3 linked regions of the Cricetulus griseus genome follow. The protein of the gene in region 3 interacts with the protein of the main gene of each other region in a biochemical or structural test. Links are inferred from orthologs where the notes say so. Each region holds a gene or a part of one and is shown on either strand. Other genes may lie near its edges.

What was found.
Region 1: the proteins of Tlk1 (region 3) and Mbp form a complex in vitro, tested with the Homo sapiens proteins (2 studies listed by BioGRID, with this or other methods). The link is inferred for Cricetulus griseus from reciprocal best matches to the Homo sapiens genes TLK1 and MBP.
Region 2: of the proteins of Tlk1 (region 3) and Asf1a, one has a biochemical effect on the other in vitro, tested with the Homo sapiens proteins (3 studies listed by BioGRID). The link is inferred for Cricetulus griseus from reciprocal best matches to the Homo sapiens genes TLK1 and ASF1A.

What each region holds. Positions count from the first base shown.
Region 1 is NC_048595.1:233,085,423-233,089,615, reverse strand, and holds the start of Mbp (myelin basic protein), read left to right. Parts: upstream 1-1,372; 5' UTR 1,373-1,502; intron 1,503-1,633; exon of another isoform or gene 1,634-1,760; intron 1,761-1,766; exon of another isoform or gene 1,767-1,891; intron 1,892-4,193. UniProt on the Homo sapiens protein: The classic group of MBP isoforms (isoform 4-isoform 14) are with PLP the most abundant protein components of the myelin membrane in the CNS. They have a role in both its formation and stabilization.
Region 2 is NC_048595.1:255,436,296-255,439,945, reverse strand, and holds part of Asf1a (histone chaperone ASF1A), read left to right. Parts: intron 1-2,060; coding exon 2,061-2,176; intron 2,177-3,650. UniProt on the Homo sapiens protein: Histone chaperone that facilitates histone deposition and histone exchange and removal during nucleosome assembly and disassembly.
Region 3 is NC_048599.1:104,455,667-104,459,316, reverse strand, and holds part of Tlk1 (serine/threonine-protein kinase tousled-like 1), read right to left. Parts: intron 2,813-3,650; coding exon 2,702-2,812; intron 2,602-2,701; coding exon 2,465-2,601; intron 1-2,464. UniProt on the Homo sapiens protein: Rapidly and transiently inhibited by phosphorylation following the generation of DNA double-stranded breaks during S-phase. This is cell cycle checkpoint and ATM-pathway dependent and appears to regulate processes involved in chromatin assembly.

The sequences.
Region 1 (4,193 bases), on a different chromosome or scaffold from region 3:
ATAGTTAAATGCAGCATAAACAAATGTAACACATCTTTGCTTATTTAAGATTATATTCCACACCTATTACACAAGCATTGTATCCCTACAAACAATGTAAGCAACATTTCGCAAATTCTTTTCAAAGAGTCTAATTGGATCAGCCATACCTGCCACTGGGAAGGAAACCTGTTGTTCCTGGGAATCAACAGAAGCCTTGGAGGGCATGAGGCTGTTGTTCCCACTGTGGCTAGGCAGCTCCCAGATTCACTGACACCTGCAGGGCAGGGACATTGGGACACATCTGTCTCCTGGCTGCTGACATTGAGTTTTGATGCCTGGAATGGGACCCAAAGTTCTAACATTCTCTGATGTCCTGAGCATCAAGCCAGCTGTGAGCACTGGACATCCCTGTCCTGGGTGGCCCTCTTGCTTCAAACAGGCTTAAAGTCACTCCATCTTAGGTTGGACCAGGACCTTTCCCCTGCTTTTCTATCCTTACCTCCAAATCCCAGGACCTACATCCTCTCCGACTCCCCCTCGTATACCATAGCTCCTAGGTGCACGGACTAGTTAGGTGTCTCTACACTACTGTGAAAATAGTTGTCTTAGAAAGACTGGCATTTGGAAATAGTCACAAGATCCTCCACCTTCCATGAGGAGGTGAAACGCCTGGAAACTCCCTAGGAGCCAGCTCTGAGACTTCCTGTCCTCTGTTCTTTGCATGCATAGTGTGTGTCCCTAGGTTGTCTGATTGATACCCTCATAATGTTTATCTCACGAAGAACTAGAGACTTACTCAGCGTGGTCCCCTTCCACTAGTTCCTCCCACCTACCCTGAGTCAGGCTGATGGAGTCAAAAGATCCATGTGGCAGCAGGGAACCTGTGTTCAAGTAAGCACAGTGGGGTCCTCAGTGGCAGAAAGGGAAATTTCCTTGCTGGAGTCACTAGCCTCCTTCGTGACAACAGACGTCCTGGGCCCTCTAGCCAGCACCTGCGGTCTCAGCTCCAGCTTCAGGCCCAGAACACAAAAACTACCTCGGGTCCGGCTGACCTTCTCATCCGGAACAGGTGCCAGGGATCAAGGTAACCCATGGTACAGGGCGAGCGATGCCAATTAGACCTCTCTTCCGAGCTCCCGCTGTCCAGGCTTCTGAAGCAGGAAAGGTTCCGAGAGCAGCGGTGCGGAGCGTAGGGCGGTGACGAGCAAAGCCCCGCCCCGCGGCTCGCAGGGCTGCCCTGCCCCTGGGTCCCCGCTTGTCCTCCGCCCTCCCAGTGGCGCGCATTTACCTGCTTGCAGGCAGAGGGAGGCGGGGCGGGAGCGGGGTGCGCGCCCGTCCCCGGAGCAGCCGCTGTCAGTCACCGCTGCTGAGCGCCAGCGAGGACGAGCCTCTGGCCCAGGCGGCCCGCGCCTGGCGACCCGAAACACAGTACCCGCGGCCCAGCGACCCCGAGCCCAGCGTCGGGCCCCTCCTGCCGGGCTCCCGGGCGCCCATTGGCTTCCAAGGCGCAGGCAGCACTGGTGAGTGATCGTCATCAGGGACGCGCGGGGCGGCCCTGGAGCCTTTGTCTCCGCGCCCCTAAGAGCGGGAGACCTCGGCACCGAGCCTGACTCTCAAAGAGACGAAGGGAAGGGTGCTCGGTACTGGCACCAGAACTCTGATCCCTCCCCAGGCCAGGAGCGCCCGGGTCACAACTGACCAGAGGAGCAGGTGTCCCCGCAGGTGGCAGCTGGGCGACCTCTCGGACCGAAACCACGTCGGCAGCCCCATCTTTCTTGGCAAGTGGTGGACGCAAGTGTAGACTCAGGTCCACAGCGGTGGGGACTAGGAGCCTGCAGGATAGCCCGGAGTGGTCTCCGGCCAGGCCTGGGGACCCCGGGGTCGCTGAAACTCGAGCGGCCTAAAAATGGTGAGGGGAGGAGTTTAGAGGTGGGAGGTGACCTCGGTCTAGAGAGACAGCCGTCCGCGTGCGGAGAGGGGTCCTGATGGGCTCCGAGGGCGCCCAGGGGCCCACCTAAGCCTGCCTTGCCTGCTAACCACACACCTGCTGGCCCTCGTGCGAGCCCTGCCCTGCTCTGCCCTTCCCCACAAGGAGAAGCAGTTCCTCTTCGAGCAGAGGGCGGCGACAGGCACTTGTCCAGGCTTCCGCCTTCTCCGGGCCTGTCTCGGGCTCCTAGGCCCTCTCCCACCCTGCCCACCTGCTGGCCCCCGCGCTGTGTCCAGCCCGGCCCCGTCTTCCCGCCCTAACTTGATCTCTTGGTCCTGCTGAAGCGCCGGGTCCCAGTAGCCCCCGGGGGACAGTCCTCGTGTTCATGTTCTGCTTTGGTGTGTTGTAAACGCCTCTGGTTTTTAGGGGATGTGCGTACCCTGTGTGGGATTTTGAGGTGTTTCTCTAGTCCCCTGATTTGGGAGGTGGAGCGAGGCTTGGACAAGGGTTTGTGATTCTCTGAGGAATCAGTTCTGACACTTGACGCTTGCCAGCAGGACAGCTGCTGAGCCACACAGCACACCACACCACATGAGAGTGGATCTGTGCCGTTGGGGACAGTCTTGGAGCAGGGCGTGAGAGCCTGTCGGGTGGGAGGCATCAGACACTGGACAGGCATCGCCTCTGCCTGCGCAGGACACCGGGCATGCAACTAGAACATTTCTTTAGAAGAAGGCAACCTTAGGGAGGTCTCATTTAAGACCTGTGGCTTTGGAGATTATGTCTAGATGAGCTCAAAGGACCACTCACTCACTACTCATGGCTCTCCCAGAAGAGCTTCCCCTGCCACCGGCACCTCTGGGATGGGTGGGGGCACCCGTGTTAGAGGATGGGATCCTGGGAAGAGGCCAACCCAAGTTGGAGTGCAGGATAACCACATAACAGGTGCACAGCCCCCCAGCTCGTGTAGACATTCCCAGATTCTCGGTTGGATAAACAGAAACCTGAGAGAGAAAATAACAGTTTAAAATAATCGTGAATGTGAGGTGCAACGCCTAAGAATTTAATTGTTCTGAAATGCGTACTTTTATCGACTTGAGATTTTTTTAAAAATGTGTCAAATCCACTTTTGATGTCTGTCTAGATATGAAGTGTTGGTTCTTGGTGGAAATGGTGTGTGTGATTTTTTTAAAAAAAATCTGTGAACACAGAAAAAGAACATAGCCCCATCTTTCAAGGATGTTCCAGTTTAGCCTGGATTTTGGAGTGCTAAAGCTTATTTTGTTTGAATCTTGGTTTCCTCTTCAGGCTCTTTATGTTTTTAATGCTTAGATTATATTTATTTACTTATGGGTATAGGTGGGTGAACAAGTGTGGAGGTCAAAGGATAACTTGCAAGGGGTCAGCTTTCGCCTTCCACCATGTGGGTTTCGCCCCTCTCCAGGTTCTTTCCAATGTCAGCAGCTTCCCCTGCCTTCCCAATAGCAGGTGGCATTGACTGACCACTCACCAAACACCAGGCTCGATACTGAAAACTGTTGACTCCTGCATTTAAGTTTTAACTGAAGTGGGAGAGCTTCATCCCCCCCCCCTTCCTTTCTTCTTAAATGTCCACCATTAGGGGATGGAGAGATGGCTCAGTGGTTAAAGATGCTCCCCTGTCCTTGTAGGGGGCCCTAGTTAAGTTCCCAGCACCCACATCAGTTGGCTCATCACTGCTTGTAACTCTAGCTCCTAGGAATCCGACACAGTCTTCTGGACTCTGAGGGTACCAGCTTTTACAACATGCAAATACCCCCACCCAGATATACATATGACCAAAAGTAAAATTTTAAGGCCACAACTAGCTAGTGGCCATGCCTATTAAAACATCCAGGTTCCATCCCCCAGGTGGCCTGACCATAGAGACACCCATCTTAGTTGGTATCCTTTGCTTAGCTTTCTTTATTGATAAGGAAGAAAAGCAAGTGTCCCTGTGACCCAGCGTCACATTAATAAGCTATTGCTTGCAAAGACAGGTTCTTACCAGTCCCCCAGAGCACACTAAAGGAATCTGGGAGGTCCTATGCTGCAACAAAGAGATAACACATCAGAAGTCCCTGTGCCTCCCAAGCACATGGGAAAACTGCTAGAACATTCTTCCATGAAGGCTTTAAGTCTCTATTGAAATCTGTGGTGGGCAAATTTTAGCCTAGAAACAAAGTCCATAGGAGATGCTTGTTAGCGATTCTGAAGCTACCAGGAGCTACACTCAGGAGGTGTAAAGATTAAAGATGCCGCACTG
Region 2 (3,650 bases), on a different chromosome or scaffold from region 3:
TTGCTATGCCTGTACAAGTCTGATTAGCCTCCCTACAATTTCTAGGGTTTAATATTTGCAGTGTACCAAAACTGAGCCTGTGGCTTTATATTTTAAAAGTTCAGGCCTATTCTGATTGCAAAGACTTTATACTTTCTCCTAGACTACAGATTCCCAACAGTGTAATTAACTTAAAATTTTCTGGATAACACACCTCTCATCACACATGGAAATACTTTCTGTCTGGGATTACCATGATTAAATAGAAAAGTTAACTTTTTAAATAAGTGAGTAAATTCCAGCTAGTAACTTGTAGTGCCACAGGACTTATCCTTAACTTCCTAAACTCAGAAAGGAAAACTGGCTTTATAAACAAACTAATAAATAAGCATTCGATGGCATTAAAACCCAGTGTGTGCCCCTTCTTGAGTTACTGCTTGTACTTACTGAGGCTGGATTATCTAGCTCTCCACTGCCAGTTTTTACCCACCTTCTGTGTTCTTTAATTTCATTAGTTCACAGCTAGAAAGGGGCAGAACTTACCCAGTTACTTGTATTTATTTTAAAGCCAAGGCTTTTGAGTAGCAGCAGCCCAACTTGAATTCTAATTCTGATCTGTAAGCAACGTGAATTTTTAGTAAATTACTTAGCTTCTCCCAGTCTCAGCTTTCTTGTTTATATAACACATGTACAGTATGTGTGTGCTTGAATGATCTATCTGTATAATAAAGCATTTTTGTAAAGTGACAAAGCCCATGCGAATACTTTAGGTCACTTAGTAGCTTTTCATATACCCTTCTTTAGTTTCTTCATTTAGCTTTTGGATCACTTCCCTCATTGGCCAATAGCTCCTAATATTTTAATTGATTCTTCATCTTCCCGATCTTTTGGAGAGTCCATAGGCTCAGTGCTTAGGAATCCCATTCTTTTCCTTGTCTTTATGTATTATTGCCTATTTTCTATTCTTTAAGATCGGGCCTATGTTGTATCCACACTGAAACATCTACTAGACATTCCAAACACGTATAAAACTAACTCCTGATTATTTTCTCCTTTATACCCAAAAGGAAAAAGAGAGTGCCTACTGCTGCTTCCATCCCCAGACTTTTTACCTAGGATATAGTGCTTTACTTTACCCTCATGGTCACCATAGTGAACCACACCACCATAGTCTCCATCCTCAGTTGTTGAAACAGTCTCTTAGGGGATGCTTAGTATAGTCTCACTAATGAAGCCAAACATAGACCACACATGCTCAACACCTTAGGAGATATCTGTCATCTTCACCCTTGTTTAAAGAACAGATTCCTTCAAAAAGAAATGGTTTTATGCCTCTCTGTTCTCCATAGACTTTTCTAAAATGGTGCTTAATGAAATCTAGATTGAATCACAAGCCAAGTCTCAGGTTGTACTTGAGTGTATCATGTCCCTGCTGGTTGAGGAGGTGTAAGGATCTTGGTTTCCTCTTGTGGTTTTAAGAATGTATGGAGGAAAGGAAGAAACAGCTCCACTATATCCTTAGCTACAGTTGGAATAGTGGTAATATGTATCAGTGGTAACTATAAGTTAGTATAAACCATCAGTTATTTCAGCCAGCAAGAGGGAGGAGATAACAGCCTGACAAATTTACATCAGATGATGAAGCCCCTTACTTCTGAACCACAAGTAAGGTTTGCTGACCATTTCCCACTCTGGGTTCTGTGTTGATTTCTCTTTCACAGGGCAGCCTTTCCTCAGTGGTGAGGCAAGCCTGGGAGACTGCACAGTAAATCACCTGGGCAGTGGGATTAGTGTTCCAGGTATTCTTTGAGGAGCTCTCTGAGTACTGTGCCATTTGCTTTATGAGTACTTGGGGAAACTTAGCATTTCCCCAGGTTTTGTTCAGGTTTTATTTGGGAGGAGCCCTCTCCAAGGACAAGAGCTTCATGAAAGAGAATTTGGAAAGGTTACTGGAATGAAACAGGAATTCTGGTAAGAAATTCATAAGGAACATTTCCATATCTTTCTAGATGAGGACTTTATCATCTGTTAATATAATTGCTATTGATAAATACAATAATGCTTTTGGTTTTTAACCCTAGACTTGGAGTGGAAAATTATCTATGTGGGCTCTGCCGAAAGTGAAGAATACGATCAAGTTTTAGACTCTGTTTTAGTGGGCCCCGTTCCTGCAGGAAGGCATATGTTTGTTTTTCAGGTAAGATTACTCTTAAAATGTATATGTCAAATATGTGTCTTGTGGTGATATTTTGTTTATGATCTAACAAATAAAGCTTGCCTGAAGACCAGAGGAGCAAAGCAGCCAGCCACTAGAGTGTTCTAACCTCTACCAATATTCAGACCAAAGGGGCGATCATGTCCTTTGATTGCATCTCCAGACTGCACTGCTCCTCAGACTGCTAAATGAGCTCCTGTCTCTCCCATTTTATATTCTTCTCTAGAGCTGGGATTAAAGGTGTGGGATCCCGAGTGCTGAGATTACCTTTGTGTGAGCTGTTTTTCTTTTAGATAGATTCAATCTCATGGCCTTGAACTCACAGAGATCCTTCTGCCTCTCTCTCCCGATTGTTGGAATTAAAGGTATGCACCACCACTGCCTGGCCTCTCTCTATGGCTAACTAGTGTGGTTAGCTTTGCACTCTGATCTTCATGCAAGCTTTATTTGTTAGATCATGAACAAAATATCACTACAGTTTCTAATAGACTAAATGATCTCAGAGCTCTTGATCCTTTTTATGTTAAGTAATTTTACTTCGTCTACTCCCACTTTTAGTCTGCTCTGTTTCAGGCAGTATCTGTCATAAAGGAGTTCTGTACTTGAGACTGTGTGCAGAGATGTTAATGTCTTTACTATTGGTAACTAGTCAGACCACAATACACCTTAAACTGTATTGTGGCGCTCACAAGATTGATTTGGGTTTGTCCTGTGGAGTAGTTCTTCAAGATGAAAGCATCCCCAAATGTGTATTCAGATGGTGTGCTAGTTAGTAATACTCGCCTGCTGATGTAATTTCAACAACCTCATTTTGACATAGTAACTGCAAGGCTAAGAAATGTTAGCAGATGTGACTTGAGCCATTGGGATTAAAGTCTGGCGCTTCACTGAAGCTGCTTTATCTAGGTTTTTATAGAGGACTGCTGTGACATGTCCATTACCCGTTAGAACTTGAGAGTATGATTTCTGCGAATATAAATCATGTTCTTAAATACGTCTGACAGTATTTAAGTCTGTGCCTAAGCTTGAGACATTATCTTCTGTATAACTGTTATTTCTCTTACTTTATATTAAATTGCCATATTAAACTAGTGACTATTTTCAATTATCCATGCTTCTTAGAGGAAGCTATTTATAATACTGCAAGGAGTAATGAGTTAGCTTTTAAATAACTATTAATTTTTGTTAGAAGTATTTCTACCTAACCAACCAAGTCTTACTGCAGGCAGAATCCAGAACAAAAATCTACTTCCTGTCCCTGACCTCTGTTTCTCCCTTCACAGACAGGACAGTTTCAGCGAATACTCGTTTTGAAGAAATCCTTTAGAAATGGGTGAGGGGGTTGCTTAAGAGCACACTGTAGAGAAGCTACCTCTTAGATACAGAACTGAGGAGCTGGGACTGAGGGTTTGCTGTTAGCAAACCTCAAATAATTTAGTGTATATAAACATGGCAA
Region 3 (3,650 bases):
TAAAATCTTTAAATATTTGCTTAGTTATTTTATGTGTATAAGTGGTTTGTTCATTGATTTTTAGACAGGTCGTCACCGTGTGGCCTTGGCTGACCTGCCTCTGCCGCCCGAGTGCTAGGGTTAAAGGTGTACATCAACACAACCAACTGAGTGTTGCTGTATGTACACATGTATGCACATGCATCACAAGTGTGCCTGTAGAGGTCAGATGAGGGTAACAGCTCCTCTGGAACTAGAGTTACAAAAGGTTGTGAGCCATCACCTGCATGCTAGGAACCAAACTCTAGCCCTTAGGTGCTCTGAAGATCAGCCAAGGACTCTTCACAACACAGACATCTCATTAGCCCCTTGCAGCCTACTCTAGTGAAGCAAAACAACCTACAGGTCTCACTTCACACAGTTTTTAAATAAGATGTCCCCTAAACCTCTAGACAAGTGTGTGGCCACAAATAGTTTCATGGTACCTTGTCCTTACCAGCAAATACCATTCCTATAGATACTTTATCAGAATGAACACTGTATACATAATAAATAAATAAAAATCTTCAAAAAAAAAAGTTACAGAGCAAAACTTGCATCAAAAAGTTGGGGGAACACATGTCTGAAGGTCAGAAAATAACTTTTAGGAGTCTATTCTACTTCCACTGTGTGGGTCCCAGGGATAGAATTCAGGTCATCAGGTTTGGTGCAAGTGTCTTTACCTGATGAGCCATCTAAACAGCCAACAGAGGAACATATGGTAACCTCGCTACAACACATTAAGTTTATTTTGATAGTAACCATGTTCCTTTTAGGTCTTCTATCATTCAAGAAAGAAAATGTTATAGCTCTACATGGTCATGCTATTGAGATTTAGAGCAAGCCAAATGTTTCCCTTCCCTCCCCCAAACAGGGACTCCAGAGCTCTGTGTGGCTGAAGGATTCGTTTGCACACACATTTCTTTTCTGTGGCCTGAGTGAGGGAGCAGAGCTAAGACATGAGTGAAATTCTCAAAGAATGGTAAGTTAGCTCTGTTTCCATTTGGATTTAGGAATAATCTAACATGCTCTTAAGTAATCAAGAGTAAATTTGAGGAGCAGGGATGCAGCACCGTGGTAGAGTTCCAGTCCACTACCTGTGAGAATTTCAGTCAGACCAACAGAACCCCAAACAAAAACAATCAAAAAGTACATTGTAACTATATTACAGAAGAAGCTCTAAGTACACATAAATTGCCTAGTGGCAAGTAAAACCTTAATGGGACAGATATATAGTGGATCACAACTGGTTCAGAGATTATTCATTAACATGTCTAACTTTTCATTTATTCAATTCTCATTTTCTAATCACGTTGGATTATAAACAATGAATGTGAACACACTGTTAACAACACAGAGTAAGTCTTCAATCATTGCTTAACAAATATAGGCTATGCTAATGATTTTGATTTTTATAAGAGCATGTAACTACTGGCATAATTAATAATATTTTATTTCTTAAATTATTTCTCCTTTATGTGTATGGGTGTTTTGCTCACATATTTGTCTGTATACCACATGCATCAGAGGCCTGCATAGGCCAAAAGAAAATTACTGAAATTACAGATGACTGTGAACTGCCATGTAAGTACTGGGAATTGAACCTGGGTCCTCTGGAAGAGGATCCAGTGCTCTCCCACTGAACCATTTCTCCAGCCCCTAATACTTTAGATTATGAACATTAATGTAGGACAGTCAGTGCTGAGTTTAGAAGTAGAGATTTTTGCTCACAAAATATTAAAGGCTATGGTTTTCATCTCAAATCCATTTCCTGCTCTCTATTTTTACATTCAGTATTTTAGCTCAAGTATAAATAATATCTGTCCATCTTAACTATCAAAATTTTATCTTCCTCACAATATTATTTTTGTATTATCATCAAGCTATTCAGTATCTTAATTATGATCACATATACTACATGTTAACCTTTAACTAACCAAAGAATTAAACCCCAAACTCATTAGGTTTACAGAGATTCTGTCTTTTATTGTGATAAGCTAATAGCCAGCACAGCTGTCTCCAACAAAAGCTAAATAAACCTATTGAGAGCTTGTTTTTTGTTGTTATTGTTGTTTTTAAAGGAAAATACACATTGTACTCTTTAGATGAAAGCTACTTATGTAAGACTTCTGGTTAAATACTGTAGCTTGCTGAGTTTTATAAATTCAAATAGTAAGGAGATGCTGAACATAATTCCAAATTTATAATTCTTTAAAGTAATGAGAATCCAAATCACTAATTTTTAAAAATGCAGCAATGGGGCTGGAGAGGTGGCTCAGGGCTTAATTACATACATTAATCTTCCAAAGGACAAGAGTTCAATTTCCAGCACTCACATCTGGTGGCTCAAAGTCGCCTGTTACTTCAGCTCTGATGCCTCTGCACTCTCACACACACACATACACATAATTAAAAATAAAATTTTAAAAATGTAACCATTACTAACTTCACAAGATTTTGAAATGCAAAACCATCTGTCCACTGTTCAGTAAAAGAAGCGCCATGTCTAACTGTTGTAAAGTGCCCAAGGCGTAACCGGTCTTGCATACTCTTCTCTCTGCTTGACAATTTTTCTTGAGTACTCTGAAATGAGGGGGGAAAAATCAATTATACCATTCAAATTTTAAAAGCATGCAAGGCAAAGCAAAATACTAAGGGAAAGGAAAATTTAGTACTAACTCACCTTTTCAATAAGAAGTTTCTTGCTCATTGATATGCACTTATTTAATCGTTCTTTGTATTTTTCAAGTAATTTTTGTTGATCATCTATCTGCCGCCTGAGATCACAGTTGGCCTACAACATGGTAGAGAATGAAAGGTATATAATCAGTGTACATGAAAATCTTAGTAATCATTTTAGTGGTTTGAATAAATTATATAGATAAGAAAAATGCCAAAAGTCTATTTAATAGTAAACATTAATTTAACCTTATAGGAGAAAGTACAGAAAATTTATGTACACATTCTAGACATACACATATATATACCAAGGTATGTAATTTTGGCTACATAAATTGAATCTGAGTTCAGTTCCCTTATTTCTTTCTTTCTTTTTTTGTTTTTTCATGACAGGGTTTCTTTGTGTAGTCCTGGCTCTCCTGGAACTCACTATGTAGACCAGGCTGGCCTCAAAACTCAAAAAAATCTACCTGCCTCTGCCTCCTGAGTGCTGGCACTAAAGGCATGTGCCTCCACCGCCCACCCAGTTCCTTTATTTCTAAGTGGAAGTAGTATAATCTACCTCAGCTAAAAAATAAAATGTGGTATATCATGTGTGTAACACATTCAAGAGGAATGTGAATTTCTTCTCACACTTCCTGACCTCTCATACCACTTTCTCTACTGAACAGGGACAATACCGTAATTTGTTGAGTCAATTACCTACTTCCAGAACTCCTTGAATAGGCAGCTATATGCTCACAGAGGAGGCCTCTCTCTAACTCACAGAGTCTGGCTACCCTGCCATTACAGGAAGAGAATTACTACTGTGGCCTGCTCAGATACCCCACCCCCAAATTTTCTAAATCAAAAGGTCTGGAGAAGAGCCTGGGAATTTCACTTTCTCCAGCAATGCTGCTGCTCCTACTTCTGGGTACTAAGATCCATAGGCCTAGGCCAATCACACAAAAACC